4 linked regions of the Rhinolophus ferrumequinum genome follow. The protein of the gene in region 4 interacts with the protein of the main gene of each other region in a pairwise test. Links are inferred from orthologs where the notes say so. Each region holds a gene or a part of one and is shown on either strand. Other genes may lie near its edges.

Region 1 (7,358 bases), on a different chromosome or scaffold from region 4:
GGAGAGCCAGGACCATTTAGAAAGGTTTGGATTCCTGTGGGAGAAAAAAAAAAAAAAAACTGGAGATGGGAGACAACAAGGACAGATGAGCAAAAAAAAATTTTACATAAGATTTGTGTTGATATGCAATATAGCAGGAATGTCCCTTTCCCCATTACCAGCCAACAGCCTGATAACTAATACCAACATCCCTTGTCTTGTGAGGCAACTTTTGCAGGATATGCTAAGGAAGGGTAATGCCAGGTCCCCAGTCGTGCACCTCAAGAGTAGAAGAAGGTGACATGAAGAGTCCAAGAGTAGGGGCTGTTTGGGAGCGTTATCACAAGACTAGACATGGGCTTCAAGTATCCTCTCACAATTAGCTCCACTTGTTTACCGGAATCTTGGATAGAATATATTCCCAAATTCCACACTGCAGCCCCAAATCTTTGACCACAGCCTGTACATATTCATAGTATTGTTTTGAGTCTTTTGAGCAAATAATCTCAGAGGCCTTGAAAGACAGATTGCATTCCTTTCAGTTAGATATGTTGCAATTCGGGGAATATGTACAAATTAAGTGGGAGGTAGAAACGTAAATGAAACCCAGAGTAATGGTTTGTGATAAGTTTTGAACCACAGTTTGTGTGCCTGTATTAATACCACAGCAGCTCACCTACCTACCATACCCTGCAAAAACTCAATCCCCTCTATTAAAAGACCCACTGGCTGATCCCCATACCTGCAGAGACCACCATCTAGTGGCAAATCAAGAAAGCTGCAAGATTTTAAATCTTTTTTAAGGTCTGATTTAGTAAGAGAACAACAGCCTTTTATCATTCGTTGTGACTTCCTTTGTACATGGAGCTAACGTTCATTTAGGCCAGGGTTCAACAACTTCTTTAATGGCTGGGGGTGGGGGTGGGGAATCAAAAGAAGAATGTTTTGTGACACTTGAAAATTATATGAAATTCAAATTCCAGTGACCATAAATAAAATCTTATTAGAAAACAGTCACACTCACTTGTTTACATATTTTCTATGGCTTTCTTCACACTACAACAGCAGAGTTGAATATTTGCAACAAAGATCATATGGCCCACAAAGATAAAAATATTTTCTACATGGCCCTTTACAGAAAACATTTGCCAACCCCTGCTTCATTATAATAGCTTCATGCCTCACAATGTTAAATATGCCAGGAGGAGCTCACTGCTTCCACATGCATTCACTGGCTGATTCACCCATTCATTTCAAAATCACTTCCAGCCAAGATCTAAGAAAAAGTTCTTATGCATATCTAGCACTCACATTCCAGGATGACAGTAGTGTGTTCCCTATTTAATAGTCCATTATATCTGTATAATTACATCATTGACAAAACTTCACACTCTCTCTGGTCTCTGTGTTCTTACTAAAATAGCATGCTTATTTCCGGCTTTCTAACTTTGGCTCCAAGAAATTCTTAGCTGCCAATTGCTTTCCTCCCAAAATTCCTAAATTCACTCATTCCCCATGAATTTATCAGCACATGTATCAGGCACTATGCTCAGTGAGTGTCCTGATACAAGATGAATAAAATATAGGCCCTGTCTTCAAGACATTGACCATTTAGAGAGGATGAGGGAAGAGCATATGAAGATGCTGAAAGAGACAGAGGAGTCAAAAGGGAAAGTGTATCCAGGGAAGGCTTCAGAGACGTGGCCAGAGAAGATAAGTAGGGAGGAGGAGAAGCAGAACTGGAGGAGATCATTTCAGGCCCAAGGACCACAGCAGCATGAGCAGAGATGTGAAGGTAAAGAACCAGCATGACATGTGCAGACAACTACAATCTGTTGTGTATGGAGGGAACTATAGAAACCCAGGTAGTATACTGATGTTTATCGTTCTGGGACCAAACTATTGCCTTTTATGTCCTAGTATTTCATATACATTTCAATGCTATTCTAACAGCAACAATAACCGTTCGAATGCTTGAAATTGTCCTTTACTTACAATACTGCGTATGCTTTCACAACACCCTTTGAGGTGGGTATTATCAAGGCCTCCTAGTTGAAAAGTAGCAGCATCTCCTAAGTATAAATCTCAGAGAAACTCTCACATACATGCACAAGAAGACGACACAAGAATGTTAGAGCAATACCGTCCATAAAAGCAAAAATGGGGAACAAGCTCAGTGTCTATCGATAGGAGAGCAGACAGCTCATAGTATATTCATACAGTGGTATGTTATAGAACCATAAAACTGAACGAGTTAAAACCTCACATTTCAGCATACATTAATATAAAAAAAAATGGTGACAAAAGCAAATTGCAAAGGAATAAACAGTATATACCTGGGGTGCCAAAAAATGTATACAAGTGGACACTTTGGTCAATGTTGCTCAAGCAGTAGTTCACCATAATCAGAAGTGTCTGGACGCTGATGGTGACCACTTTGAGCACCTCTTGTAATTGCAGGAGTCAAACGTGACTTGTATTCATCTTTTGTTATCCATATATATTATTACAATTTTAATAGTTTTTTCCTTCCTTAAAATGTGTATACATTTTTTTGGAATCCTATGTATAATAACATTCATGTAAAGTTTTAAATTATGCAAAGCGATACTTCATTTTACCTAGGGATACATACGTAAGTAGTAAAAGTATAAAGAAATGCATGGGAATGAGAAATACTGAATTCAGGATCGTATTTACTTCTGAGGGAAGGAGTTCATTAGGAAGTAGGGAGAGGGCACTCCAGGAAGAGGGAGCAGCATATACAATAAGTTGAGTTATGCAATAGCTTGGTATTTACAGGAATCAGTAAAGGTTTAGCATTGCTGGATCATAAAGTGAAAGCAGGGTGGGGACGTGAGAGCAATAGGTAGGAAATGAGATCAGGGAGGGACACAGAAGTCCAGTGGTACTCACGTTTGACTTCTCCCATCAGACAATGCGGAGCCAGTAACAACTTCTAGATAGAACCCTTTGGCAGTAATTTGAATAGTAGTTTGGAGTGGTGAAGTCAGAGGAAGGATATCAGTTAGGTAGATATTGTCATGGTTCTCACAAAAGATGAGGAGAACCTAAAATTAGGCAATGGCGCTGTGACAGACAAGGATACCCAAGAGTAACTTACACAGTGTACCAGGAGGCATGCCCATCAGTAGGGTAGAATATTATACAGTAATGAAATGAATAGATAAGTTTTATATTCCACAGCTTGGAGGAACCTCAAAATGTTGAGTGAAACAAGTCCCATTGTACTGCATAACGATATAAACCTTAAGAAATTCAAAGACAATCTAAACTTTTTTTTAGCTTCACCTATATGTGATAAAGATATATATGTAAGGAAATGATGACTACAAACCAGGGTAGTGATGTTTTTGGGAGGTGGGGAATAAGATGATGAGATTCGCGTTTGTGTATTTATGTGTGTGTGTGTGTGTGTATATATCCATATATGGATATATTAACAGAGGTGTCATTTATGGACCATTGATGACAGCATATCATAACCAAGGATTTTGCTTAATCTACTCTGTACTAAAGGCCTTAGCAAAGGAAAGCAAAATAAAGCAGGAGATGATGTATTTTTCAGATGCTCTGGCGGTAAAATCCAGATTCCAGCCTTTTGTTTGTTTTTCTTAGTTGGTTTTAGATTCACTCTCAGAAAGGTGAGAGGCCCCAGGTAAGACCATTGTCTTACCCTCCGATGGTTCGGCGTACGGGCTTCTAGGAACGAGGGGCAAAGGCCGGGGTGCCGCGGGGCCCCGGAGCAGGATGGCGCAGGGGGCGGAGCAAACAGGAAGGCGGGGCTAAAGGGGCTCGCCGCCATGGCGTCGGCGCCGTCCAGTCAGCCGCGGGTGGTGGCGGCGACTTCCCCTCCGGAGCCCGGGTCTCCGCCTCCTCCTTCCACCTCGCCTGCTCGGCGGCGGAGGCGGCGTTGGCGGCAGCGGGTGTCCCTGCCTCTCCGCCACCTCCACCTCGGCCTTACCCCAGGCCGGCGGCGTTGGCGGGGAGGGGGACAGTAGTTGTAGACGCCCGCCCCTGCCTCAAAGAAGGTGAGTTCCCGCCCCGGCGGCGGGGGCGGCCCGGGCTTCAGCCCTTCAACTCGGCGGCCCAGTAAACCCCTGCGCGCCAAGCCCGCTGGGCCCGTCCCGAGTACGAAATGGCCGACAGCGTCGGGGCCGGAGGCCCCTCACCACCCGCCGCCCGCGGAGAGGGGCGCCAGGGCCCCCAAGTGGAGCGTGGAGGGCAAAGGGGCGCCTCCGCCTTCAGGAGGCCGAGGTGTGAGTGGGAAAGAGGTGGCCAGGTAGAAAAGGCTGTGGTTCTCGAGTGTCTGCGAAAAGGAAGGGGCATTGATGAGGAAACCCCAAGACTGAGGGGACAGAGATGGGATGAAAGGCCCGAGACGTGGAAGGAAGCAAACCTCCGTTGGGTGACATTCGACCTCCTGGCAGGTACATAGGACAATTAGACGTGGGGTTAGGAATCTGGGTAGAGTAGGAAGTAGCGTGGGAGCTTCAAGTTGGGCAGGCCCCGGGGGAAGGAAAGAGGGCTTTGAGGGATCACTTTGGAGAGTTTTCCTTGGCTTTTTGAAGATCACACCCTGTAAAACAAGCTTCTGAGATTTACAGGCCTATCTGGATAGTCTGCGTTTTACTATGTTAGGTACCAGTGTCAAAGATCACAAAGCCGGGCCTTAGAGCGGTGACAGCAGACTTTATTTGGTTTACCCAGCGGTGACTGGGCGTTTTACAGGGAAAATGAAGGAATCGGAGAGAAGTGGGGTTCAAGTAGATTCAAGGGAGTGAAACATTGCAAAGGGTGAGTCAGTGTGAATGCAGTTAGCTCTGTCTGCTTGGTGGCATTAAGGAAAGGAGGGTTCTGCCCTCCCACCGTGACTGGGAGGCCCGCCTGCCTCCCTGATGATTGCATTTCAAAGGAATGACTTTCAGGTCCTTGGGAGAGAGGCCACCGAGTTGTAGGAGATCCACATCTTCAAGGGTGGGAGGAAGGATTCACAGCCGAAAGCTCTTTAGTAAGTACTCTTAACAGAGAGAGATCAGGAACCTCCCCTACCATCCGGTGTTGGCTGGGACAAACCGTACATCTCTCTTTGACAGCCCCGAGCTTTTCCTGTAAGACCCTCAGGGGCTGCGTCCTCCCAGGTATTCTGCCGTAGGCTTCGGGAGGCCACGGTGAAAATTTGTTCAAGTCTCTGTGTGCAGGGGTTTGGAAGGAGTGGTCCTGCCAAAAGTTTTTAAAGTTCTCACCAACACATTTCCCCTAACACCAAAAACTATTTCCTGATCGTCTCAATCTAAGAGAGATTTAAGACTATAGCGGCGAACAGCCTATGAGATAAGGCTGTATGTAAGGCAGTTTGGGAAATGATTTTAGCTGAAGCGTAAATCCACTGCAGAGTGCTTCAGTAAAACACTTAGCCCTCTTTAATTTAATAATTAACTTTTAGCATTTGCTGTATTGCCTTACGTTGCTTTTCTTGTCTCCGGAGTGAAAGATGGTGAAACACGCCAAAGCCTTGTCGAATAATTTAATTACTTTCTCCTGGAGGGACACCTATAAATATAAAAACCTCATAAAAATAATTTCATTTTTACCTTCTTGCATAATACTATTTTTGCGTGCTATTCCATAATCTTTTAAACTTTTCACTTTGGAGGAAAAGCAAAGTAGTAAAATGTAAATTTCTTAAAACATTATTGTGTACACTTTATATAAATTTCATTCACTAAAAATGGAAATTAGAAATTCATTGCAACCAAGTGATATTCCATTAAGTATCTTAGGACAATTTGGAAGACTAGATTTAGTTTCTTCAATCAGCCTGGGTTAGTGTCATTGTTGATATAAAAAACAAGATCTCCTAGATTTTTGTTCATACCAAACATCCTGCCTCTCACCAACAAGTAAGCCTGAGCAGTTTATAAGTGTCAAGTCTACAGTACAATTTGGTTCCCATAGCCAGATCATAGGAAGATTTGGCAATAGTTTCTCATGAAAAAACAGCTTTTTGCCTGACTTGGCATTTTCTGTTTGTTTTTTGTGATGCCTGAATATGTGCAGAATTACTGAAGACTTGATGTCAGTTCACACAGGGCTACCAATAACCTTCCTATACCACTTCTGGGTAGTATAATAATACTGGAACAGGAGTCTTGTAATAGGTTCTAGTTCTAGTTTCTCCACTAGCTGTATGACCTTGAGTAAATCCCAAGCTTTTCTTTCAACCTTTCAAAGTCCAAAACTTCTTTGAGTTTTGTCATCTGTGGAAAGGGGGATTGGATTAGCCCAGTTGAGTGGTTTTCAACCAAGGATAAATTTGCCCCACCCCCTCACCCTCACCCCCACCCCGAGTACATTTGGCAATGTCTGGAGACATTTTTGGTTTTCACCACTGGGCAAGGAAGGAAGGGCAAGGTGGGAGTAGGTGCTACTGGCATCTGTTTGGTATAGGCCAGAGATGCTACAAACATCCTAAAATGCACAGGGCAGTCCCCGCCAGACACACACACACAAAACAAAGGATTCTCCTACCAAAATGTCAGTAGTGTTGAGGTTAAACTCTGAGGTCCTTGACAGCTTTAAAATTGTGAACTCGTTTACAGTTCCATGTTGATAATCATTCCACAGCTTCGCTGTGTACTAGAATGGCAATTCATAAAACATGAAACTTTGACCTATAATGGCCATCAGATGACATTCAGAAAGCAATGAAATCTCTGTTGAGTTAGGATTGAGATTATTCAGTAGGATTTGAAAAACAAAATATAATTTAGTACCTAAAAAGTTACCTCATCACTTTATTTCAGGTAAATATCCTTCATCAACTGTTCAGTTAACTGCTACTTAACAAATGGTAAATATTTGATATACTATTTAAAACACTTGTAAGACTCTATTTATTTAGTTTAGATATTTATAAGAGCCTTAAATAATGGCCAATTAAGAATACATAAATAAGAAGAAAAAAAAAATGTTGCTTGTTACTTCTCTTATTTTTCTTAAAAAATAAAAATCTCTTTAGGAGATTCCTCCAAAAGGTATCAAAGAATTGTTGTGCTTCCAGTTATTAAAATTCCACTCTCACTTTCAAAATCCTGATGGGACCATTAAGACTGATTTGAAAACCATCTGTTTGTTCATCTTCACCTATAGCTGTAATACTCTTCAGGAGGAGCTCATCTGTATCGGGCTTGATAATGAAGAGATGTCAGTAAGGATTAAAAATTGGCAAGCAGGGAATATATAGAAGGTATAAGATTACAAATAGGACATTGAGAAATAAACTCAATTACAAAAAACAAAAGAAATACCCCATCACCAGACTTATATGGCAAAGTAAGATTTTCCAGGATACTTTA
Region 2 (8,017 bases), on a different chromosome or scaffold from region 4:
AATAATTGATGTCACTCTCATGGACAAAAGATTGCAGGGAACTGTTATAAAACAACCAATATAATTTTGAAAAGAGCTTTTGCGGTGGGAGCTAGTTGTGACCTGGGGCGTGGTTTGTACTTGAGTGTCTGTTCTTCTAGTCTGGGTCTCATGGGTACCCTGCACTCAGGACGCTTGAGAGTTCCTGACACAGAAGCAGCCTCTCGTCTCCAGCGTCAGTCCTGCCATTATAGGCAAAGCCATTGCCCTCGAAGGTATGGAATTGGTTCTGCCTGAGCCACAGCTCCTTGCTCTGAAAGGAACGCTGGGCTTTTCTGAGAGCAGGGAAATTCTCGGCCCTCCAACTCCAGGCTTTGCCAGGAAAACTGTCTGACAAATGGAGTTTCTGCAGGGTAGCTCGCAGGGACCATCAGAGGCTGAGACCTCACTTTACAGGCCAAAGGGCCGGCTTAACATACGGAGAGAGAAAATAAAATCAAATTAAAAACATAAAAACCTCAGAATCCTTGGATTTTTTAATTTATTTTTTGAGCAGAAAGAGACAACAAGAGGTCAAGTTCATTTTGTCTAACTTTCTGTTATATTCATCCATCTGTCCATCCATCCATCCATCCGTCCATCCATCCATCTGTCCACCCAATTGAGTATTTTCTCGGTGCCTGCTAAATGCCAGCCAGTGTGTTGGATCCTGTACTTCGAGTAATTAAAGGTGCAGGTGAGAATCTTTCCAGTTTTTAGTCATTAGAAGTGCCACACTTGCTACCACCACTCTCAGTGACCCAAGAGAGCCCCAGGATTCAGATATTTGGCAAATCTGGGGCTCCGCAGTCAGGGTGGAGGGCTGAGGGTGCAGAAGGCTTCTCTGGAAGCGGAAGCTGCCTTTTCAGAGCGCGCACACTCTTTCTACAGCGTTTACTGCAGCCTGCCAGACCTCCTTATCGCAGGTGTGCCCATCCTGTGATCCTGTCCCTCCCTTTACTTTTTTCCACAGCACTCATCGCTTTCGGTATTCTGTGCCGTTTCCTTCTAATCTGTGTTTTCTGCCCCTTCTCAGAATGTAAGCTCTGTGGTGTCAGGCGTCTTCGCCTCCCCGCACTGATACTGCCCTGGGGACCCAGCAGTGCCCGGAATGCAATCAGCGCCAACCACATATCGTCTAAGTGTTCCAACAAGTAGGTGACTCAAAGAGCTTGTGATAGAGACAGTAAATAATGACGTTTTCTCCTGATACTTTTAGTCTCCCTTTTCTGAAGCTTGAGACTATGTAGCTGCCTATATGAAAATGAGGAAGTGAGAGCAGCTTATTTGTAAGCGACTCCTTGACACTGTCCCGGAGTAAGAAATCCTTTCCTCCCGTCTCCCTGGAGTTTCTCTTGCACTGAGGCTTGGCAACTCCCAGAGAAAACCTTCCTTTCTCTAAATGTCTGCCTTTTGGACAGCCTTAGGAAGTCATACTAAGGAATTAAGAGAGGGAGAGAAAAAAAAACAACTACGATTTCCTCTATTCATTTGAATAACTGGCGAATTTGAGTGAAGGAAACATTACAAGTACTGTTGTGTGGATCAAATTAAAACTGGGGCAGTGGCCTAAGGAAGTATCATTTGGAGGTGGCATTGCTGACTGCAGGCTCCCTGGCACTGTCTCTGCTCCCTGCAGGGTATGTGCACCATGCAATGAAGGGTCCTGGTAGCTGAAAGTCAGGACGGTGGTCCTTGAACGTGCATGTGATGTAGACACTCAAGCGGCTGAGTGCCCAGGGATTCTTGTAGAGAGAGGAGGGTACTTCCCCACCCCCACTCCTCCCATTTACCTATGTAGGAGAATCGTTTGGGAGCTGGTAACATTGATGTGGCTCTTCCTCAGTCTCTGTTGAGGTGGAATTCAAGTTCAGCATCCCCAGATGCTGCAAAGGCTGGCAGAGTCCTGTCATCAAGTAAACAATAGTCACAGATATGGCGTTACCACTTGGTCTGGGGTCATCCAATGATTAAGGCCCACTGATATTAGCCACTGTTTGCAGTTGCCCTGTGCATGGGGTGTGTACTTGTCTCTGCATAATCGTGCTTGCATGCACTTGGGCAGGGATGTTCGGACTTGGCTCTGTAGAGAATGGAGGCTGGCCCGGAACCGGTTGGAGATTCATTTACAAGGTCTGGATTCCGTTGTCTCACTTTGCAGACTTCCAAGGCATCCGACTGTGAACACTTACATTGAAGCGAAAGTCTGAACCCTTATTGCAAAATGGGTCTGTAGGAATCCAGTCACCACTGAGGGTTTAAAAGTTTGGGGAGAAAACGGACTGGAAAAACCAGGTTTGGCTCAGGGCAGTCGAGAACAGTTATTGGCTCCTTACATAATGTATTTGTTTTTCATCAAGCCATTCAGATAAGGTCTTATTAAAGTGCCATGTATTATTTATTGTGTTTCTCGTGAAAATGAGCTGAATGAAAGGAAAATTCTGTCCTCTTTTGGGGGCATTTGCAGGCTTTCCCAATGCCAGTGAGAAAAACAATAAAGGAAAGCAGGGCAAACCCCAGTCAGTACAACGAGTTGTTGGAGGCAAAAGGAAAGAATGGGAAAGGGAGAGCAAGGATTGACCGTTTATTCCATCTGTGTTTTGTGGAGTGCCTTTCACTTTGGTTTTGTGAATTGCAAAATGAGAAAAACAAAAAATGAAAAACAAAAGCAAATAATGAAAGACAGAAAGGAAAGAAAGAAAAAAAGAGAAACATTTTATCCGCAAACCAGACCTTGTCTGCTGAATGTGATGTCTGAGACAACATATATAGCAAGGATTTTTCAAACTAACTACTGCCAGCCCCCCAAAAAAGAACCAGCATAAAATACCAGCCTGTACTCCCCTAACCCCCATCTCAACTTTCGCTTGGGCTTAAATGTGCTACTGTGCTCCTTCTAAATGGACAGGATGCGTGAGTCCCATCGTGTTGGAGGGACTGTTTGCAAGGGGAGGAAGTAGAAGGAAACTGCCTTTTTGGGGCCTAGTGTTTGGCAGAGTGAAGACTTTATAGTTGTTGATGACGTTTGCAAACAGAAAAACAGAAAATGGAGCTGCGGAATCATGAATTTCCTTTCCTTCAGAAGGCATTTTGATTAGCCTGCAAAGTGCCTTGCGAGCTGATGGCTCAGTTCAGAAGCTGTCATTTGGCTGAATGTCCCAGTAAGACACAGGAAGGGGTCAGCTGGGCTGCCCTGTGGCCATTCCCCAGTCCTGCCCTAAACGCTCTTTCCTGAGGGTCCCCGCACTTTTAGGGCATCTCTGTCCTACAGGCCTTTGGAAAGCCCGCAGGGAGACTTCTCGCAAGGAACCTAACAATCAAAGGCTGTTCAGACAGCCTCTAGCTCTGAAAAAGCAAACGAAAATCCGTTCACTGGGTCAAAATCTATATCACAAAATATGGCATTATCCCTGATCATGGCTTGACGGCCGCCAGGGACGTGCTTTTTTTTTTTTTTTTCCTGTGGGGACCCAGGACGTGGTAGAGTCTTAATATTTTCTTTTGATTTGCAGATCACATCCTATTTTATTGCCAAAAGACTAAGGAAATCTACTAATGAATAATTATTACTTCATAAAATAAAGGGGAGTGGGGACCGCTCTGCAGGAGCAGCATGCTGATTTGGCCGAGGAGGGCTGGACAGGCAAGAAAAAAATGAAATAAATAAACCATGTCATTTGCCCGCTGCAGCCCACAGAGTAGTCTCTTATCAGACGCGGACTTACCACCCTGTGCATTTATAATTTGAGAAGAGTGGGATTCTAGGCTGCGAGAAGCCCCCCTTGCATTCACCCCGGGCTGGCACGTTAGTTAGTCCAACAGGCTTGATTTCCACGCCATCCAGGGCGGTTTCTCCCGCTCGGCGGCTCCGGGCTGGTTGGTGTGCCGGCTGCTGCCCGCCCAGCTGCGGCGAGGCGCGCAGGAAAAGCTGCGCCCCAAATGCTTGGGGGTGCATCGCTGCCGCGGCCGCCCTGCCAGGGGGTGGGGGCCCCAGAAACCACCCTACCTCGTGCGCCAGCAGCCCCCGCTCCCCGCGCCCCCGGCCCCTAGTGTCCTCGCAGCACTTTACGAGGGGGAATCCCATTTGTGGGTTGATTTGCGGATGAGTCGGGCAAACAAATCGCCACCGAAATCTAAGACTCTGGGTCCCAGCTGGGCGATCGCGTGAATTGTCCGGCTCGTCTGGATACTGGCGATGTGGGGCGCTCGCTCGCTGGCTGCCTCGCCCGCCCCACGGAGATTTTTAGCAAACACAATTTGAATTTTGGTGAGTCGTTTAAAAAAAAAAAAAAAGGCAGAGGGGAGGGAAAAAGGAAAAAAAAAAACCCAACCCTGCCCTGGACCCATTTGACAAATGAGAAGGCACGCAGCATCTGGACCAACGGAGTGAGCCTCGGTGTGAGTCAAATCTCTCTCTCTCTCTCCCTCTCTCTCTACCCCCCCTTCTCCGTTCCCCCCCACCTGGCCCTTAGCTCTGTCAACCCCCCAACTCAGCATCTACAGAAGGGCATCCACCCCCTCTACCTTTCACTGAAGTTGCTTTTGCTTGTTCCTGTCATCTTCTGGGGCTGGGGGTCTGGAGGGCGGGGGCACCTGCCACTTTAAGAGACATCACAAAGCAGGCCCAACAACCACACTCACACAGACACACACACACACACCCCAATAAAGCCATGAAAGAAACAAAATAGTTTCCTGCCCCTCTCAAGTGTCTTAGTTGTTGGAGGCAGATGAATGCTGGGATCTAGCAAACCCAAAGGGAAGAAGGAAAGCGAGGGAGGGAGTGAGGGAGGGAGGGAGGGACACGGGGTGCTGTGGGGGGGTGGGGTGGGGAGGGAGGGTGAGAGAGAGAGAGAGAGAGAGAGAAGAGCAGAGAGAGACAGCCACCGGGGTTTGACTTAGATAATCAGCAAAATTAAAAAGGGAAAAAAAAAATTGTAGCGACCAGGCAAAGAACGGCGTGATTGCATGCGAGCGTCCCCACTCGTGCTCGGCGGGCGCCAGAGAGACAAAATGCAGCATCCTCTGACGGGGGCCACCTGCGTGGCGCTCCCCAACGTGGGCATGTGTCCCCAGCTCTCGTGTGCCTTGACTTTTATGTACTTACAGCAGGTAAGGCACGCGGCTTTCCCGTGGACCTGCATCGCTTTGGTACCTTGGAGGGGACCGGGGAGGGGACTCGTAGGTTTGGATGGGAGGGGTGCATCGCAGCCCCTAGTCTTCCGAGGATCCCTGGTACCCCGCGCCCAGCTGTTTTTGCACCTCTGTGACTACTTTGAACGCCTGCTTCCGCCGAGCTTGGGTACTGGGAGTTTAAAATTGCAAACCGCCTGCTCCTGACTCCGGTCTTTCTCGCGCCAGTGACCGACCCGTGGTGATCTGGAGCTAAACCCTTTGATGCTGAGTTTGGAGCTGTGTGGAGGCAGGCGTGTGCTTGGAGTTTTAATTTAGCGGCTTTAATAGGGAGGGGGAAAAAAGAGAGAGAGAGAGAGAGAGAGAGAGAGAGAGAGAGAGAGAGAGAGAGAAAGAAAAACCCACATACGTATGTGTGTGTATGCTCAGTCTTTTTGTTTTCTTAAGTTTGTCTGGCTGGTGCTATATTCAGTTGCTTTTGGAATGGGAGCCTTTGGGTTTCTGGAGCGTGTCAGCCCCAGAATCTGCCTCCACATTCTTAGGCAATGCTGTGAAGAAGAGCTGTTTAGGGTGCTGTCTTTGTTGCTATGTGTAAAGGCTTTTTTTTTTTTCCTTTCCCTCCTCCAATCTCCCTTAATGGTCTTGCTGAGGGATTCTGTGTTTATTTTCCATTCTGTGTACATTTCAGAATCTTTCATTGTGCGTCTCTCTATCCCTGGGTGTTTCCCTTGGACCTTCCCTGTCTTCTTTTCCTGATTTATACTAGGAAAGCTGCCACCTCAGTTGATTCCTGGGTTTGGGGAACAGCTCAGGATTGCCTTGGGGGTAGGTGACATGTGGCTTTTCCTCACTGGACAGGGGCTGTGGATGTGGCTGGCAGCGTTAGAAGGATTTTGTCATGCAGATGAGAATCCTCCAGTCCTGGGATTCCTGTCCTTCTGGATGAGGAGTTAGCAGTGATTATAGTCCTTTTATCTGTTTTCTGATGGAGTGCCTTCAAGAGTTAACTATGTGTGCTTGTGGTCCACTAAACTTCCTTTACAAGTGTGCAGAGGGGACCTCCTTCTCCAAAGAATCTCCATGTCAGTACCATGTGTGGTAGGAAGACATGTATTCATAAAATGCCGAGACTCTGTTTAGAACATTTAGGGAATTGGGGTTCAAGTTGGTTGCCTCCAGAAAATGTTTTTAGCTGTATTTTCTGTTGCAAGTCTTGTTGAGAACAGCCTTTTTTTTTTTTTTGGTGTGTTGTTTGAATATTTTGGAAACAAATTGCTTTATTCTTTTAAATATTATTTTGGTCCATTTCTCATTAAGTAAATTGTGCCAGGAAACATTTCCCAAAAACCTATTGGTAAGATATTAGAGGATTCATCTGCTTTTCCATTTCTGTGCCCTTTGCTGTGAGCGCCGTGTGTGTGTGTCTGTGTGTGTGTGTGTGTGTGTGTGTGTGTAGTTACCCACCAGAAGAGTATCCTACTGAGCATTTCTATAGCTGCAAAGCCTCAATTGAATTTAATCTAAGTATTACTATGAGTTGATCTTTGACATCCTATATTCATTTCTTTCATGTTATTTATTAATCAATTGGAATAGCATCACCTAACAAGGAGAGCTGTAGGTCTGTAGTGTTCTCACAGTTTCTTTATTCATTATTATTTTTAAATAATGTTTCTTCCTTCTAGATCATAACATTGGTTTGCCCATTTAGGTACAACTTAGGAAAGAATTCAGTGACTTTGAGTGGGAGGTTATTCTTGCCACGGAAAGGACAAGTATATAGGATAAATGCAGGAGTTCTCAGCATCTGCCTGGCTGGCTCTTCCAGAAGGGAAAAACGGTCCTGCTCTGAAAAGGGGAGATCCAAGGGAATGGTGGCAGCCATAACAAGTCCTTAGAAGTGACTAAATCAGCATCATGGTGCCATATGCAGAGACGGAGGTGGATTTTATGCTGTGGAAGGCAACCCCCTCTTGAAGGGGATGTGATGCTCTGAGTGGCACAGTGGATACACTGACACTGTGACACACGTCAGAATGCAGTGTGTGTGTGTGTGTGTGTGTGTGTGTAGGGGGTGCCTGTGTGTATGTTTCTGGTGTTTCTCTAAATGCCTGAAGAATAGTACCAGCAGACATTTATTTTTGCCTGATTTCGTGAGAATCAGGTTTTCTGGCCGCAGCTCCCAGCCTTTCTAAAGGCTTCCGGTCAGGATAAGAGAGCCATACCTTCAGGTCATCTCTCCCAGCCATTGCTGTCATCACAGTTTGTACAGAAGCTCATGTCATTGTTTTTCGTTAGCAGTCCAGACCATTGGCTGAGTGAGGGTGTGAAATAGTTCACTTGAATCACCACAAACCACTTACAGATACAATCTGTACACCATTCATCTATACAGGGCCACTGTATTTCCTATCTGCTGTTAATCCAGAAAGCTATCATTGTATCTCTGTTTAATTTTGATGATTAGAAAGTTCATCTGTAGTCTCAGAGGAAGCTGATCAAGTGGATGACTCAGGAAGCCTCTATGATAAATGCCGTCTCCTTTGGAATCCTTTTATTATTATTTAGAAAGAAACGTATTTCAGGAGGCTTTGCCATCCAGATCACCAATTGCATAAGAGAATAATTAAGACACAGCTGTCTTATTTCGGAGCCTTTATCGTTCTGGTTTCTGAATGCATGAACTCTGATTGGGGGCCACCGAGTCTTCCCCGAAATATAATTTCCTGGAATGAAGTTTCATATGGTGCTTATTTCTCATCCAACAGCTCAGGAAAATTACTTCATCATTTGCTTTCTTTGCTTCAGCCCTGACATCCAACCTTTCTTCTTAAACCCTCTCAGATTTGCTCCTAAGACAACTCAT
Region 3 (8,077 bases), on a different chromosome or scaffold from region 4:
ATTAAGGAGCACCCCCAGTTCTGCTCCACCCTGAGGGCTGGGCCCTGTGATCGGGGTCTGGGCCCCAGACCCCTATCCTTCCCCTCAGTTTCCTTTCTGTCCTGGGGTGGGTGGCCTCTGGCTTTGGATGTGCAAGTGCCACCTGGTGAGGCTGGAGGAACTGGGGACTAACTCTTGCCCATGGTGGACTTAGCAGGTACTAGGCCGAAGATGTGCCTTCTACCTCCACCCACTATGTGGCTCCAAATTCTTAACAGCTGGGGTCAGCTGGGGTCAGCTAAAAGGGAAGGAGGCAGAAATGACCTCAAGGTGATGAGGTTTCCCCTCCCACCTCTGCCGTAGACTCTGGGCTAGGGAGCTGGAGGCGTTTCCTCCACCAGAGCCGGAGAGCTCTGTCCCCAGCCTCCGGGACTCATAAGCCATTACCCTGTATTCCTTTGGCAAACCTTGGCGCTTCCTGACTCAGGAAGATTGAAGAGATCTGTGCCCATGGGTCCCCCTAGATTCAACCCCTCTTCTTTTGATGGCATGTATATACTGTTTATGTGGGTGAGGGGGGAGGAAGAAGAGCAAGCAAAGTCCAGCACGGGCCAATACTGAGCTGCATCTCCCCTGGGCTTCCTCCTGGCGGCGGCGGCAGCAGAGACAGCAGGTCCACGGCTATCTGGGCCCCATTCTCCAAAGCTGCCTAGGGCCTCCTGGGGAATTCTGGGATCTCTGGTCAGAGGGATCTCTTGCTCCCTGTGCTCAGGCTGCTCAAAGCAGAAAGTGAGGGGCACAGGTCAGGAGAGGGGGTGGTTACATCCAGGAAGTAACCAGGATGAAGAGACTGGGCTAGAGGCAGGGAAAATGCCTCGGGGTCCCCTGCCTGGTCTGAGAGATGGAAGCCTACTATGGCACCCATGGAAGCTTCGGCGTTCTTCTGCTAACCTTGGGGAGGGCCCTGAGAGGAAGGAGACTTCCTCTCTCAGTTTGTTCTTAACACTTACTGGTGAATTTTATACTGGAACCCCATTCCTCCAGCCAGCTACTGCTTTCCTGTGGCTCTAAGTGCCTTAAGCTGGAAGGGGGAAGAGGGAGAGGGGTCACTCTATCGGGTGGGGAGGAAACCAAGTCAGCCCAAGGGTATAATTAGGATTCCCTAGTAAGTCCTCAGTCCTGAGTATATCACACAAAAGGATGTAACTAGAAATGTAATAAAGTTTTATGTTTAGAAGTTAAAACCCTGTTTGGCTCTGTTTGCTTCCCTTTAAGGTGTCAGCTCTGGGAGTATCAGTTCGGCTCTCCGCACAGCATCCACTGCCTACCTTTGCATTCTGGCTTGCCATCTTCCACCTTTTCTAGGATAACCAAATACACTTTGCCGCAGTGCTTCCTGGTGATGATGCAACAGGCGGGTGAAAGCTCAACCTGCGTTACTGGGTCTGGCAGGGACTGCTCACAGCAGCAGCACGTGACCTTTTCTGCATCATGGACACTTTACAAAACCTCTTCCCCACAAAGCTGTATGTGTACACACCCTCTCACGGTTGGAGTGGGAGAGATGGACTGCAGGTGCATGATTAAAACCCCTCGCCTTAGAAATCACTAGTCCAAAACCTCTTACAAACAAGTAAACCGAGGCCCAGAGAGGTGGAGTCATTTGGACTCAGCCATGAGTAGTGTTTTTTTCCTTCCACTCCCTCAATGCCCTCTTTGATTCTTTTTATTATTTGTTCAAAGCTGAGAGACACCCCACCCTCCTGGCCAGCAACTCTGAGGCTTGGTCCCCAGGGTCTGAGCCTAGGCTTGTTGCTTAAGTCTCTGTGGTTTCCTCAACCATCAAGCCAGGTACACTGAATACGTCAGTGAGAGGCAGCACTCGGGAGTAACCAACCCCGCCCTCTGCCCCTCCCGTCCCAAGGGACTGACAAACCCAGTCCTGGTGCCTTTCCACTCAAACACTCAATAACTTTATTTGCCTTTGGCTGGTTTCTCAGGCTGGAGGGGAGGGTAGGGGAAAGGATGAGGGCTGGCAGCAGCCTGGGCTTCATGCGCCCCCTGGTGGACCTCAGAGGCAAGGACCAGAATTGCAGCCAAACCCAGAGGACTTGACAGTCTGGAGGCCAGTCAATACAGTCTAGGGGAGGGCTGCAGCGTTCCTCAGGTCTGCACCCCGGACCCAGCTTCAGGAGACCGGGCATGATGGGAGGAGGCCCTGAACCTCTGGCTCTCATACTCGCCCGTGTTGGATGCCCGCATGTTCTGCCGAGCCTTCATCTGCTTCAAACGGTTCTTGTCCACTTCCCGCTTGGTGAGGATGAAGAGAAGGATACCACAGGGGAAGCCGATGGCCCTAGGGGTGGGGAGATGTGCACCGGGTTTGGGGAGGGACCACGCCTGAGCCAGAAGAGCTGCGGGGAAGCTCATTCCAACTTCACTGAGTTCATGAACACTGCAATACCTCTTGTGTCTATCAGCCTTCGCGCTGGCGGCTGGAGGGCCCCATGAAATTCAGATCCTGCTGCTGCCCTGCTTAAAACTCCGTAACAGCTCTCCATCACTTCCCGGACAAGTCCAAACTCCTAGGCATGGCACAAAAGGCCCAATGTGGTTGGGTCTCTGCCCACTTCTTCATTCCTTTCACCTGTAGCCTGACACCTTTCAACATGAGCCCTGCAATTCTGCTGCACAGCCTGTGCATGAGTCTCCAGACGGCCCATCCTCTCCCTCTCCAAGTCTTGGCAAAAGTTCCCTCTGCCTAAACTGCCCCAATCTCTCTCCCAGACTCCCCTTCTGAGTAACCGCTACTTAGGAGGCACCTTAGTGTGGGGAAAAGGGCATGGAGTCACAAGACCTGGTGAGAATCCCAGCTCTGAGCCTCAGTTCTCTTATCTGTGAAATGGGATGTGATATTTATCAGAAAGACTAAAACATTACACTGTAAAGTCCTGGCACACCTAAGGTGCTGAAGAAAAAGGTTAATTTCCCCCTCCTTTACCTTTAGTATTGATCAGTACTATGTATTAAAGTCAGTTGGATCCAAATGATGATATACTGAACACCTTTTAGGTGAGACCTCCATTGGGTCTCACACCAAGCTCCCAGGAGAGGATGACGCCAGAGACCCAAATTTAAATCCAGTTAGCTCAGCTTACTCCACAGAAAACCCCCACTGTCTCTCCAATTGCACACACTTTCCCACCTCCCCTGCCCCATTCCTCTGAGAATCCAGTCCTTGCACCCAGCAATTCTGTCCCCACAACCTTGGATTCAGTTCACCACCTGAAACTTAGACAAGTTTCTGGGTCCTGCCCTCCCCTGGCGCCACTCTCCATCGGTGGGCAAAGGGTTACTTTAAAACTCACCAGGCTAGTCCCACTGCTTTCATGGGATTCTTGCCCCTCTTTCTTGGAATGTATTCCAGTTCAGGAGACAGGGGCTCAGGCTCTTCCTTGCACTCCGGGGAGCTGTGGCTTTGCAGTGCCCGAGTTCTGTTCTGAGCTTTGTTAGCTGTGGCTCCAGAGAGAATCCCTGTGGATGGAGATAACGAAGGTCAGTAAGGCAATGAGAAGAAAGCCTGGGGAGGAGTGGTTGAGATCTGTGGAAGGGAAGTGACTGCAGTTCGGTGTAACAAGTGCCAGGGAGATTTCAAAGGGAAACGTTTGGAAAATCGCCATCGAGGTGACACTTTTGGAAGCCACTTCTACGTCATTGTGGGCTCATAACCCTGGTGCCAGGAGAGCAAGCCTCGCTGTTCTTTATCTGCTCGGAGGACAGGATGGGAAGGACTGCAGTGGGACTCACATGAGACGTATTAAGGAAATCCGAGAAAATGTTTTCAAACGCAGAATGTTAACACGGGAAGGGAGCTTAAAGGTGGTCTACTCCGTCCCCTCGTTTTATAGAAAGGAAACTGAAGCCCGGAAAGACGAACTGCTTCTCCCAAGGTCAAACTGCTAATTATCCGGGGCTGGAACCCAAGCCTCCAAAAGCTGAGGGCTCTTGCCTCTGCACTGCGGTGAGTGTGAAAACACCTGGAGCGCGGGAGTCTAAAAGGCTTCCTTGGGGCTCCCTCTCGCAGCAAGACCCCAGAGATGCTGTGAAACCCGAAGGCAGAGGGATGGACTGGGTGACCTCTAGAGACCATCTTTTAGCCCCCAGATTCTTTAACATCCTGTAGGGAGGTGCGAGCAGGAATCGACAGCCCTAACCTCCTGCTATCGCCGGGCGGGATGTGAAAAAAAGGTATGCCCTGAAGTACTGCCCTCCCCCGGGGCCCCTCTCCTTACCCCGGAGGACGCGGGCATTTCTCGCCCCCCGGCCCTTCAGCGCCGTAGCAGCTACCACCGCCGCCATGTTCAGATCCCACCCCCCTTCACCGCGCTCCCCGTCGGGAATTGTAGTTTGCGTAAGGGGCCACCCCCGCTCCTTCCGTCCCGCCTACAGACCAGAAACTACATCTTCCAGAAGCCCGCGGAGAGAACCGGCGAGAACTACTCTTCCCAGGAGATCCGGAGGCGCGCACGCTCGCTTGTTTCCCTCCTGTCAGGGGCGGAGTCAGGTCGGGCGGAGTTTGGGTTCTTCCCGCCACGCCTCGTCCCTGTCTCCCAACTCTGCCCTATGATTGGTGGTTAACCTAGCCAACCCTTTTCCCTACTGGCCGAGCGGCCGTCGCTCTTCTTGCTGGGGGAGTCGCCTACGCCTACTTCCTTCCCGGGAGGAGGGGCTCGAGTTCCGCGTCGTCGCGCAGAGCTGACTCTGGGAGGCGTTTGGGCCCAGAGAAGTGGATCGGCCGCTTGCGCCGCATGGAGTCCGAATCGGAAAGCGGGGCTGCTGCTGACACCCCCCCACTGGAGACCCTAAGCTTCCATGGTGATGAAGAGATTATCGAGGTGGTAGAACTGGATCCCGGTCCGCCGGACCCGGGTGAGCATTGCTGGTCCTCAGGCCATGGGACAGGAGGCGTTCACCCCTGGCCTCTGACCCCTGCTTCTCCCGCCTCCCCTGCACACCCCACCGGTTATTCCTACCGACCTCCTTCGCCCTGCCCCTCTCCCCCACCCCCACACTTAGTTCTCAGGCCTGGCCGGGGTGGGGGTTCCCCTGACGCCTCCTTTGGCCCTTCCCCTCACACACCCCCTTCCCATCATCCCCTCGGTCCTCCTTTTCCACACAGTCTCTGGCCAACCTCAGGTTCCCAGACCCCTCCTATGCCCCCGCTTCATCCAACGTGACCTCACCTACTCTCTTGCCACTTGACCCACCCCAGCGCCAGGCCTCCCCACACTTCTCTCCATCCCTCTTACCGCCCGCTGAGCCCCATCTTTTATCCCTCTCCCCAAAGCAGATGATCTAGCCCAAGAGATGGAAGATGTCGACTTCGAGGAAGAGGAAGAAGAGGAAGAGGGCAACGAGGAGGGCTGGGTTCTGGAACCCCAGGAAGGGGTGGTCGGCAGCATGGAGGGCCCAGATGATAGTGAGGTCACCTTTGCCTTGCACTCAGGTAGGTCTGTGAGGAGAGCCCTCGTAAACGCGGGCCCCGCGGGCATTGGAGCATCGCACATCCGCTGTGTACAGAGCGTTAGGAGGGACCCAGAGATGGGAAAAGGCTGGCCTGGCCCTGGAGGAGCTCGCAGGTAGGGGGCAGTATGATGGAATGGAGGCGAGCTTGGCCCCTCGAGTCCCTTGAGAAACGTAGGTTCAAATCCTATCACTGCTACTGACCAATTTATGATTTTTATCAGCTTCTCTGGATCTTAGTTTTCTTTTTTTAATTCAAGTTGATTGGGGTGACAATTGTACTTAATTTTCTTTTAAAACGTTACCTTGGTGTAAATGCGATGTTACAGTACCCTTTTGAGCGTATTTGCTATAATCCTCAAAAGTTAGCTCTTCATAAGCACCAGTACCGTGATGCTCCCCTCCCTGTTTGTACCCAGCCGGGTGGCATCCCAGGCTGAGAGCATTAGCGCTGCACATGCACCCTCCTCGTGTCCACAGCGTTAGTGGGGGCTGGTGAAGGGGGCAGCACTGTAGGGGGATCTGCCCCGGAGGAGCTTGGCAGGCTTGGGGAGTGACTTCTCCAACGACCTGATGCTTGAAACTTAGAAGAACTTGAATGCACCCTTCTTTCCCTGAGGAAAGACATGTTGCTTTGGGTGGAAGGGGGTGGGCTTCCTGCAGGTCCCAAAGGACTGAACCCTAGGTGGGAGCCCCTTACTCATGGAATATCTCTTGGGACAGCATCTGTGTTTTGTGTGAGCCTCGACCCCAAGACCAACACCTTGGCAGTGACGGGGGGTGAAGATGACAAAGCCTTTGTGTGGAGGCTCAGCGACGGGGAGCTGCTCTTTGAGTGCGCAGGTGAGGGGCCCAGGTGAGGTCGTGTCCCCTTGGGGGTCCTAGGGGGCTGGCCTGCAGCGGGTGTGCATCCAACAGCCACGTATCGATCCCCGTGTTGCCAGCTCTGGGCTGGGCCTGAGGACCCCAAAACAGAATAACGTCGTCTGTCAGGGACATAGGGGAGTGAGGCACGAATTGGGAAGGGAGTGTGGGAAAGGCCTGAGGCGGCGACACAGGCTGGCGTTGGCGTGTTTGGGAAGAGGGAAGGATGTGGGTATTCCAGGCAGAGGTGTGGAGTGGGCGGAGGGGAAGACAGAGGCCGCAGCTACGTGTGGTTGTGTTGGGGGCAGCACGGTCTCCTCTGGGAAGACCTGGGTGTGTGAGTTCCTGCAGCGGCAGTGAGTTTGCTTACCTGTTCAGCTAGGGCCTGCCCTTTTGTTCCCAGCTGGTCCTTTAGGGGCCAAATACCTGGGTCATGTGTCCCCCTCACTAGGGGCCCTGATGTTCTTTTTCTGCCCACTTTTCCTTGAAGGCCATAAGGACTCTGTGACTTGTGCTGGTTTCAGCCATGACTCTACCCTAGTGGCCACAGGGGACATGAGTGGCCTCTTGAAAGTGTGGCAGGTAGACACCAAGGAGGAGGTCTGGTCCTTTGAAGCAGGAGATCTGGAGGTGAGATCATCAGAGTGGGATTCAATTCTGGAGGGGTCTTGGGTCCAGGGTGAGCGCTTGGGGGTCTAGTCCCATCTTTATCAGACCAGCCACCTCTGAGCCAGTGCACTCTCAAGGTGCAGCACCAATATCTGTGCCTGTCACCTAGAATGTCCCCACTGATTCAAAAGCAAGGAAAGGTTGGTGGGGCTCATGAGGCAGGTTCCTAGGTGAGATGGGGTGATGGGCCTCCCTGCTGACTCTTCCTCTCTGTCCAGTGGATGGAGTGGCACCCTCGGGCACCTGTCCTACTTGCGGGCACCGCCGATGGCAACACCTGGATGTGGAAGGTCCCGAATGGTGACTGCAAGACCTTCCAGGGTCCCAGCTGCCCAGCCACCTGTGGCCGAGTCCTCCCTGATGGTGAGAGCAGCTCCCGTGAGCATCCCTGAGTGCTTTCCCGAGTGCAGAGGTTGGACGTGGCGTGCCATGTCTCTTAGGCTCCCTCCAGGGCCACAGCTGGCAATCTCCGAGCCTGCTCTTAGCACTGATGTCCTAGGTCCCCGAGCAGACAGTTCCCCCTTTCCCACCCTGAAGTGGTCTCCTCGGCTGGTCCTTGGGGGCAGTGTCCCCTCACTTCCTTGCCCTCTCCATTCTCTCGCTGGGTGTGTCTGAGTGTGCCGTCTGTCCTCTCTTCATCTGTGCTTCTGGCCCTTTAGGGAAGAGAGCTGTGGTTGGCTATGAAGACGGCACCATCAGGATTTGGGACCTGAAGCAGGGAAACCCGATCCATGTCCTAAAAGGTAACAAAGGGGGCGAGTGTTACCCTGGGCCTTTGTAAGGAAGGGGCTGAGATCTGGGGCAGGATGAAGTGTCACTTATCCCCCCCTGCTCCATCCTAGGGACTGAGGGTCACCAGGGCCCTCTGACCTGTGTTGCCACCAACCAGGATGGCAGCCTGGTCCTAACTGGCTCCGTGGATTGCCAGGCCAAGTTGGTCAGTGCCACTACCGGCAAGGTGAGTGAGACCTGGAGCTGAGCTGTGGAGCCCTCCGCTTTCTGCCTCCTCTCCTTCCCTTCTCTTCTTTCTTCACTCGACCTC
Region 4 (7,755 bases):
CCTGTGCTCCCAAGACTGGGGGCTCCCCTCATTGTTAATATATTTGCTCATTTGTGTGCCTGACTCCAAAAGTAATACGACCAGGGAAAATGTAGATCGCACGGAAAAGTACAAGGAATAAAATAAAAATCTTCCAGAATCCTACCACCCAGAGATAAAATGACTGTAATGTCTGCATAGTAGCCCAGCATAGAAATAGACCATAATTAATATTGACTTTTTTTCCTGTTGTTGAATTTGCAAGTTGTTCCTGAATTTTCACTATAAGTGACACAGCAGCGAACATCCTAGTTTGTTTACAAACCAAAGAGTCAATTTATAGAACATCAATCTCATCATAGCAAGATGGACAGAGATAGTCATAAAATGAGAAAGAATGAGCGAACGATGTCACCTTAAGTAAACTGATTTTCAATGACTTCTACCCTTTGCAGTCATGCAGTCATCTTGAAATGGAGCTAATCACTTTCTAAGCCTTTTCTATGTATTCGATCCAGGACCCCCAAGACATTAGGTACGATCATCTTTCTATTTTCAGTGGGGGACCTGGCAGAGGCACATGCTAGATTTTTGTGATTCTCATCCCACTAGGCTTGGCAAGGATGGCAGAGAAGAATGGAATGAGGGAGTGGGCAGGAGAATTTCCCCAGTCTGTACAGTATTATCTGGAAGCAGGGAGACGAGGAGGTTAGAAGGTGAGTGTGATTCTCTGGAAGAGAGTAGAAACGAATGATGAAACTTCAGTGGTTTCGTTAGATTGTGCAATTCACCAAGATGCCTAGTGGCTATTCAGGGAACCACATGAAATGCAGGAAAAACTCCTGCTGTCATCCTGCCAGGATCATACCACACACCGAGAGATAAGGAAGTACAGAAACAGGAAAACACTGGGGCATACCTCTGATTTATTCTCCATTGAAAGAGGGCTAAGAGGACCAACTAAAACACCCACGATGCAAATTATAGGTGCCTTGGCATTTTAAAAGGGAGGGGGGAAATCTCCCAGAACCCAGAAACTCTTAAGCCAAAATGTCACAGTAATATTTTATCATCTGACTAATGTGTATTCATGCCAGGTGGCACACAGCAGCATTCCAAATAAGAAGTCTGACCTTTTAGGAACGATAAAATGGCATCTCCCCCAAACAAACATGCACAAGCAATTCCTTGCAGCACTGTTTCTTATAGCAGATGTTGAGCCCACAGGCTCTGTTTGTGCGACGAGAACTCCCCGGAGATGACAGCCAGACGCAGGCACTCACCAGCTTGTAAACCGCTCTGCAGGGCCAAGAGTTTCTGCTGCTGCTGATCAATTAGGTTTGTTAGTGCTTTCACATGCTTCAAGGTGAGTTCAAGAACCACTGCTTTCTCCAAGTGACCCAAAGTCTGGAATCAAAAGAGCCTCCGTCAGCAATGAGCTCAGACAAGTCCCACCTCTCAGACACTTATTAGCAATGAGAAATGTCTCTAAAGGAAAAAAAAAAAAAAGAACTAGCCTTTCCTGGCTAGCTAAATGTAATTTAAAATTTATAGATTATATATATATGTATATATATGTATATATATATACACACACACACATATATATCGGATTAAAGAATAAAAAAATGAGTGCCACCTATCTTTGGAGGCATTTTAGAAGCAGCGGCTACCTCAGGAAAAAATCTTTGATAGATAAATTTCTCCAGCAGTGGCTGCTGACCTTAACTCGGGAATCAAGTGAACATTTCTCTGCAGTGGTGTCAGCCGAGGAGGGATTTCTACTGTGTCTTACAGCCAAGAGGTTTTCCCTCGTTTCTTTCCTGACACCCGTTCATAACTCCCAACTCATCCAGTCTTTTTTTTTCCTCCTCAAATACTATTTTTTTTTCCTTTCCCCAACCAAAGTCTGCCAAGTTAGTAAGCTGTAGGCTACTCCCAAGAAAGGACAGGATGTAAAAATCACACACCAAAACAAGTCCTATTACTTAAAAAAAAAAAAAAAAGGAGAAAAAGGGGTAAATAAGATCTGTGTGTTGCTTGGTTTGCTCAAGTCAGGAAAACTCGAGAACCCTGAAAATCACCACACGGGAAAATCTAAAACTCTGGAAAAAGAAGGCCAGCTGGTGTTGGAGGCAACTTGGAGAAGTCCAAGCGGTTCTCACCTCCTCTGCGTGAGGCTGCCAGAAAATCCCAGGGCTGGGGAAGGGTACCCCCAAATAGAGCCACCCGGGCTCCGATCCAGCTCTCTACTCGGCAGTTCCCTGAGGGGCCTGCAGTTCCCGGCTGGGCCTGCAGGCGGCGAGTGACCCCCGCCCGCCCTCTGGGCTGAGGAGCCAGCCTGGAGAGCCGCCAGCTTCTCACTTACTGTAAGTTTGAGATGTTCGGGTAGGAGATCCTTCAGCTGGGCGATGCACTCGTTAATCCGGTCACGTCTCTTTTTCTCGATGAGCCGGTGCGGCAGTTTGTATGTCTCCTGCAAGGCGCACGGGCAGGCAGTGGGCACCAAAGGAAGGGGGTGAGAAGCCCCTCTCCTTCCCACCCCGGTGCGCGAGAAGAGTCGGGGCAGCGTAGCAGAGTCACACCCAGAACCGCCTCTTGCCCCCTTTTCTCCAAGCCACTCGGTAGAAGCGCCGAGCCCGCACCACGCATACCCCTCCAGCCTCAGAGTGAGAAAACTTTTCTTGGAAACTCAGCGCATGCTAGGGGCTGGGGTCCCCAGGGGCGCGGGGCTCTTACCTTGCTGTCCTCGCTCCGCTTTATTCCTCGCCTCGACTTGTACACTTGGTACATGTGGGCGAAATCCATCCTGCAGGGAGAGGGGCCAGGAAGGGTCGTGAGTTTGTGTGAGCCCGGGTTGCAGAGCCTGGCGGGCAGGAACCCCCGGATGCGCCCAGAGCTGCTCCAAGTAGAGCGCCGAGCAGAACGCGGGGCTGGAGTTGAGGCTTGAGGGGCCAGGGGTGCCCACTTACCCTGGTAGGTCTCCAGGTTCCAGTCCTGGCGCCTTGGGCAGGCAGGCGGGGGGCGGCTGCGCGCTGGGGATCCGCTCCATGGCACGGCGAACCGGGGCCACAACGCGCTCCTGTCTGCAGGAGATCGTCGGGTGAGGACTGTCCTGGAGGGGGCCTCGGAGCTCTCTCCGCAAGGTTTCCTCTGAATCTGAGCTCCCTGAAATCCGCTGGCTGCCGGGAGCTGCGGCTACGAAATGCTGCTGCTTCAGTTGGGGGCGTGCATGGTGTCCCCGCGGCCTCTGGCTCCGACTCTGCGCACAGCCTGGCGGTGTGTGCTCCCTGTGCCGTCTGCGCCGTGAGAGCCAAGTGAATGAGAAGTGGGGCGGGCGGGGAGGCGGGAGGGAAGCGCGGGGGGGCAGTGAGGGCGGGGAGCCGTGGAGTAATGGAGAGGCTGCGGGCTGGGTTAAATGGGAGCGAGTGGGTGGGTTGGAGCTACGTGTTCTACCCTGTGACTCCAGGCACGTCTGGCCGCTGCCGGGGAGGGAAGGAGCGACCTGCCCGCCCTCCCCCGGCTTCATCACATGAGTCTCACGTGTTGGACAGCGCTCCCGCGGCGGCGAGGGGCCCCCACCCCCAGTCCCGGCCCCCAGGTGTCTGCGGTGCGGCTGCCTTTCCCCGAAGAGGGGGTGGCGGCGCGGCCTGGGTCCTGCCCAGCCGGGTGAGGGGCGCGGAAGCTGGAAGGGGAGCCGGGGGGGAGGTGTGTGGTAACGTGGGCGAACCTGCCCCAGGGAAATGAAGTAAGTTCCCGTCTCCTGGGAGGGGACGGGGGAGGACGGATCCGCCCGCGTCTGACTCAAGCTGGGAGAGGAATATCCCCTCGCTCGCTCCAGCCCAGCCCTCTTCCTCCTCCCCCGCCTGGCCGCTCGCAGGAACCCGCGCGCTGCAGAGGGAGTCGCCCGGCCCCATGCCTTCCCCAGAGGCTGGGGTTTCTTTCCGTCTCAGCTTCCCTGCCCCCACCCCGCTGCCCCGCGTCCAGGAATTGCCCGCCGTGGGGAGGGGCCGAGGGGCGGGGCGGATGTCACCCCATGGGAAGCCGGCTGGTGGCCAAGCGCAGGGGCAGCCGAGGCCGCCGGCGTGCACGCTGCGCGCACCTGACCGCGGAGCGTGTGCGCCGCGGTCCCTGGCTCCCACGAGCTCCGCTGGCGGGCGTAGCCTGCAGGCCGCGGGCACCCACGTGCGCACCCCCCGGGTGCCCCCCACCCACTTCACTAGTCAAGCACAAAAAGACACCCGGCGCGGCTCCCTTCCTTTCCTCCCTCCTCTGCCCCCTCGGGAGCAAGGCTCCCGGGCCGCCTCCCCTCCGGCTGCAGAGTTACACAACCGCGCCGGTGACGCCTGCCCTGCAGCGGCCGGAGCGGGACGCTTCACGTGGCTAGGGCTCGGGCCGCAACGTCGCGGGCTGCACGGCCCTGTGCGCGGCTGGGAGACCGAACCCCAGGACTCGGTGTGCCCGCCGGGTCGGCCAAGTCTTATGCCTGCCAGGAACTTGGCGGCGCTGTGTGCGGTCTGCGCGCAGAACCGGAGGGGGGAGAGGCGAGAAGCCTGCCCGTCACCGTGAATCGTAGCATTTACACGCGTCGTTGAGCGAGCCCCCTACTCTGTGCCCGGCGTTGTACCCGTTGTACAGAAACTGGGGGCATCAAACACAGATTCTGCCCCTGAATTTACAGGGAATTTACAGGAACCGCTGCGAAGAGGACAGATTGGGCAACGAGGGGAAGGCAGCCTGGGAAAATTATATCGGGGCCACTGGCTGGTAGAGAAAATAATTTCTCCCCTCCCCCCGTTTTTTCTTGCGGCGTTGTGGTTTTGTTTTATAATTTTATTTCATACGAACTGAGATGCCTGGGTAGAGGAGGAGTGGAGAAGCCCGGGGTCCAAACGCCCCCTCCACGCGCCCCAGGTCTCTGCCATCCTCCGTAGGCCGCTCGCCGAGGCCCCCACCTCGTCACCTCCCCCGGAAAAGTCCGGTCTCTGTGACCTTCTCACTCGACCTGGAGCAGGGAGAACCGCTCAAAGGCCAAGGCAGCGGCGCGAGTCCCGCTGATGCAGTCGGAGGAGGGAGCCAGTGGAAATTCATGACTAAAATAAGGCCCGGCGGGGATTTCACTGACCTCTGCGCTGCCCTGCCCCGCCGCCCGCCCGGGACTTGAGAGATGACTGTCAGCCTTTCCCCCGCCTGGGTCAGTCACCCCGCCGCCGAGTGACCTGGCTGTGGGAAAGACTGCAAAAGGGGGGGGGGTCACTGCTGGGCTGGGTCCAGATGCGCCTCGGGTGCGCCGGGGGGAGCGGGGAGGATGTCGGTCTTAATTGGCAATGACCTTGACAATCCAGAGAACTGGGCTTCACACGTTGACCAAACTGGGAGTGGATTTCCTTCAGGCCGCTTTGGAGAGCTCCCACTTCCTGTTTATGTTTCACGAGCGTCAGGCTCATTAACAAGTGTGAGAAATGCCTGCTTTTCTAACTGCTGACTGGCATGACCTCACTTGGGGGCTCAGCGATCCCTCCCTCCCTCTCGGAATGTACTTCTGCTGGCTTTTGTTATCAGCCATCTCTCTGGAGGGAATGACTGCACCGCCACTTCCTGCCAGGAGGTGGGCAGCAGAACCACAGGCCAAGGAGGCGACTGGAGTCTGTCCTGCGTTTGTGCTTTCAATCTAGGGTGACCTGCTCTGTTGTGCGACCTTAATAAGGATGAAGAGTTGTCATGACTGCGTCAGAACCACAATTCCACCAGGAAATAAGCACAGCGGGGAGGAAGGAACACATGTCCCCCTCAGCTGTCCCCTGCTTCCCCCACGACCGCCCCCCCCACGCCAGGAGTGAACCCACAATTCTCTGCTTCCGTGGTTCAGGGCTCTGACAATTTTCTTAGAATTCGTTGAAGTTATCAATATTTCTTGCCCTTACTTGATCTACAATTGAAATAACAAAATATATGCATTTCCTACTTTTTATTTGTTTCAGCTGTACTCTCAAGCTTCAAGAATTATCCTCACTCTAACGAAGTTCTACCATACCCAGATTTTATTATTTTTTAATCTGTTTTCTTCTATCAATAGCTTATGATTTTTTTTTTAACTTTTATTTTTTAAGTGTGTTTTTCCAGGACCCAACAGCTCCAAGACTAGTAGTTGTTTCAATCTAGTTGTGGAGGGCGCTGCTCACAGTGGCCCATGTAGGGATCCAACCAGCAACCTTGTTGTTAAGAGCACAGCTCTCTAACCAGTCTGAGCTATCTGGTCGTCCTATGATTATTTTTTATCAAACAAAACAATTCCTTCCCAGCATGCATCTTTCCATCCTGAAGAAGCTCAGTATTTCAGTTTGTCATCCTATATAGATATTTGTTTAGTGCTTATTGTGTGCTAGTTTTTAGACTGTATATACAAACTTTGTACATGTTAATCCATTTACTCCTCACTACCACCTTATAAAGCTCATTTTCACATCTATAGCACACATACTGATTGAGAACCACTGTGTGCCAGGTACTGAACTAAGTCCTAGGAATATAGAATGTGTTCCCTTGGGCAAATTGAGGCTTGGGGCCGATAAATAACCTGCCCCAGGTTATACAGCCTGGAATTAGAATTGGAATTGACCCCAGGTTTGTTGGGCTTCAAAGCTTGTGCTTTTAATTACTACACTCAAGGCTGCCTGATAGAGTTGTGTGGGTTGTGCACTGCTCAACTCCAGGGGGAGCCGTTCACATTGCAGAGCACCCTCTAGAGTTGTGCAATGTAGTACTGACCAGCTGCACTGGGTAATCCTGACATTTTATAGCCCTCTCTCTGTTTTGTCTCTTCCAAGTGTAGAGAGAACATAATTTTGTACAAGGCAAGGACCGATTTTTCTTTTCTTTCCTTGTGGGGCTCAGCGTTTTGGTTGGTTATGCTGTGTGTTGGGCAGTCTATACCGTTACTCTCACAGCCCCCTGAGTGTACTCACACTTCTCTTGCTCAGATATAATTTTTTGCCTATTTATGGAACTTCAAAAAATTTTTTTAACCCCTTAATTTCCTAAAGATTTTGTTAATGGACTCAGAGAATGTAGCTCATTCGGTATACCTGATCTAACATTGTTATGATAATCCTTGTTATGATTTCATCCCTTTTTAGAATTTGCTGAAATGGCTTATACTGGTTAAATTAGCAAATGCTAAGGAAGATTTATTGATTATGAAACAGGGTTCTTTAGAGGATTTTAAAGCATTGCAAAATATTTTGGATTTTAAGCTATTGCTAGTAGTAATGTGGTGAACTTCTTTTTAAAATAATTTTTTATAAATAACACTGTGTATCCTAATGCATTTATCCCAGCTGTTAGAATTCATGGGGATGCTTTCTATGTATAGTTCTAAAATATTTTATTTTGACATAGCTTTAGAGAATTTGATTTCAAAGTCAAGATTAGTTTCTTTAAAATCTTATCTATAGAATAGTTGAATTGGGAAAATCATTTCCCTTTAAAATATGTCTCCAGAAAAGACACATGAATAAACATAATTTAATATTGTTAAATATATTATAAAACCCTCTGAAACACAAATATAACTTTTACATTCATTGGCTGAATATCCACATATCTATCCCTAGTAAAATGAGAAAGAATCTCAAATGTTTTTTTTTTATCACAGCTCACAGTGAGAACTACATGTTACTTCATCTCACACACACACACACACACACACACACACACACACACACACACACACTAAGTTCATTTAAGCTTAGGGCAGACAAGGTTTGGTTGGGCCAT

Evidence for each region.
Region 1: the proteins of BHLHE40 (region 4) and SMYD1 interact in binary tests that used the Homo sapiens proteins (3 or more experiments, as listed by UniProt). The link is inferred for Rhinolophus ferrumequinum from reciprocal best matches to the Homo sapiens genes BHLHE40 and SMYD1.
Region 2: the proteins of BHLHE40 (region 4) and RBFOX1 interact in binary tests that used the Homo sapiens proteins (3 or more experiments, as listed by UniProt). The link is inferred for Rhinolophus ferrumequinum from reciprocal best matches to the Homo sapiens genes BHLHE40 and RBFOX1.
Region 3: the proteins of BHLHE40 (region 4) and AAMP interact in a two-hybrid assay, tested with the Homo sapiens proteins (2 studies listed by BioGRID and IntAct). The link is inferred for Rhinolophus ferrumequinum from reciprocal best matches to the Homo sapiens genes BHLHE40 and AAMP.

Annotation. Positions count from the first base shown.
Region 1 is NC_046296.1:7,664,117-7,671,474, forward strand, and holds the start of SMYD1 (histone-lysine N-methyltransferase SMYD1), read right to left. Parts: upstream 3,030-7,358; 5' UTR 2,896-3,029; intron 35-2,895; 5' UTR 1-34. UniProt on the Homo sapiens protein: Methylates histone H3 at 'Lys-4' (H3K4me), seems able to perform both mono-, di-, and trimethylation. Acts as a transcriptional repressor. Essential for cardiomyocyte differentiation and cardiac morphogenesis.
Region 2 is NW_022680357.1:7,882,554-7,890,570, forward strand, and holds the start of RBFOX1 (RNA binding protein fox-1 homolog 1), read left to right. Parts: upstream 1-4,889; 5' UTR 4,890-4,986; coding exon 4,987-5,130; intron 5,131-8,017. UniProt on the Homo sapiens protein: RNA-binding protein that regulates alternative splicing events by binding to 5'-UGCAUGU-3' elements. Regulates alternative splicing of tissue-specific exons and of differentially spliced exons during erythropoiesis.
Region 3 is NC_046291.1:16,972,249-16,980,325, forward strand, and holds the start of AAMP (angio-associated migratory cell protein), read left to right. Parts: upstream 1-4,693; 5' UTR 4,694-4,787; coding exon 4,788-4,908; intron 4,909-5,326; coding exon 5,327-5,485; intron 5,486-6,225; coding exon 6,226-6,345; intron 6,346-6,856; coding exon 6,857-6,996; intron 6,997-7,253; coding exon 7,254-7,398; intron 7,399-7,694; coding exon 7,695-7,778; intron 7,779-7,877; coding exon 7,878-7,993; intron 7,994-8,077. Other genes in the region: TMBIM1 (protein lifeguard 3), read left to right, coding at 1-5. UniProt on the Homo sapiens protein: Plays a role in angiogenesis and cell migration. In smooth muscle cell migration, may act through the RhoA pathway.
Region 4 is NC_046300.1:4,919,975-4,927,729, reverse strand, and holds the start of BHLHE40 (class E basic helix-loop-helix protein 40), read right to left. Parts: upstream 3,298-7,755; 5' UTR 3,032-3,297; coding exon 2,952-3,031; intron 2,789-2,951; coding exon 2,719-2,788; intron 2,456-2,718; coding exon 2,348-2,455; intron 1,387-2,347; coding exon 1,263-1,386; intron 1-1,262. UniProt on the Homo sapiens protein: Transcriptional repressor involved in the regulation of the circadian rhythm by negatively regulating the activity of the clock genes and clock-controlled genes.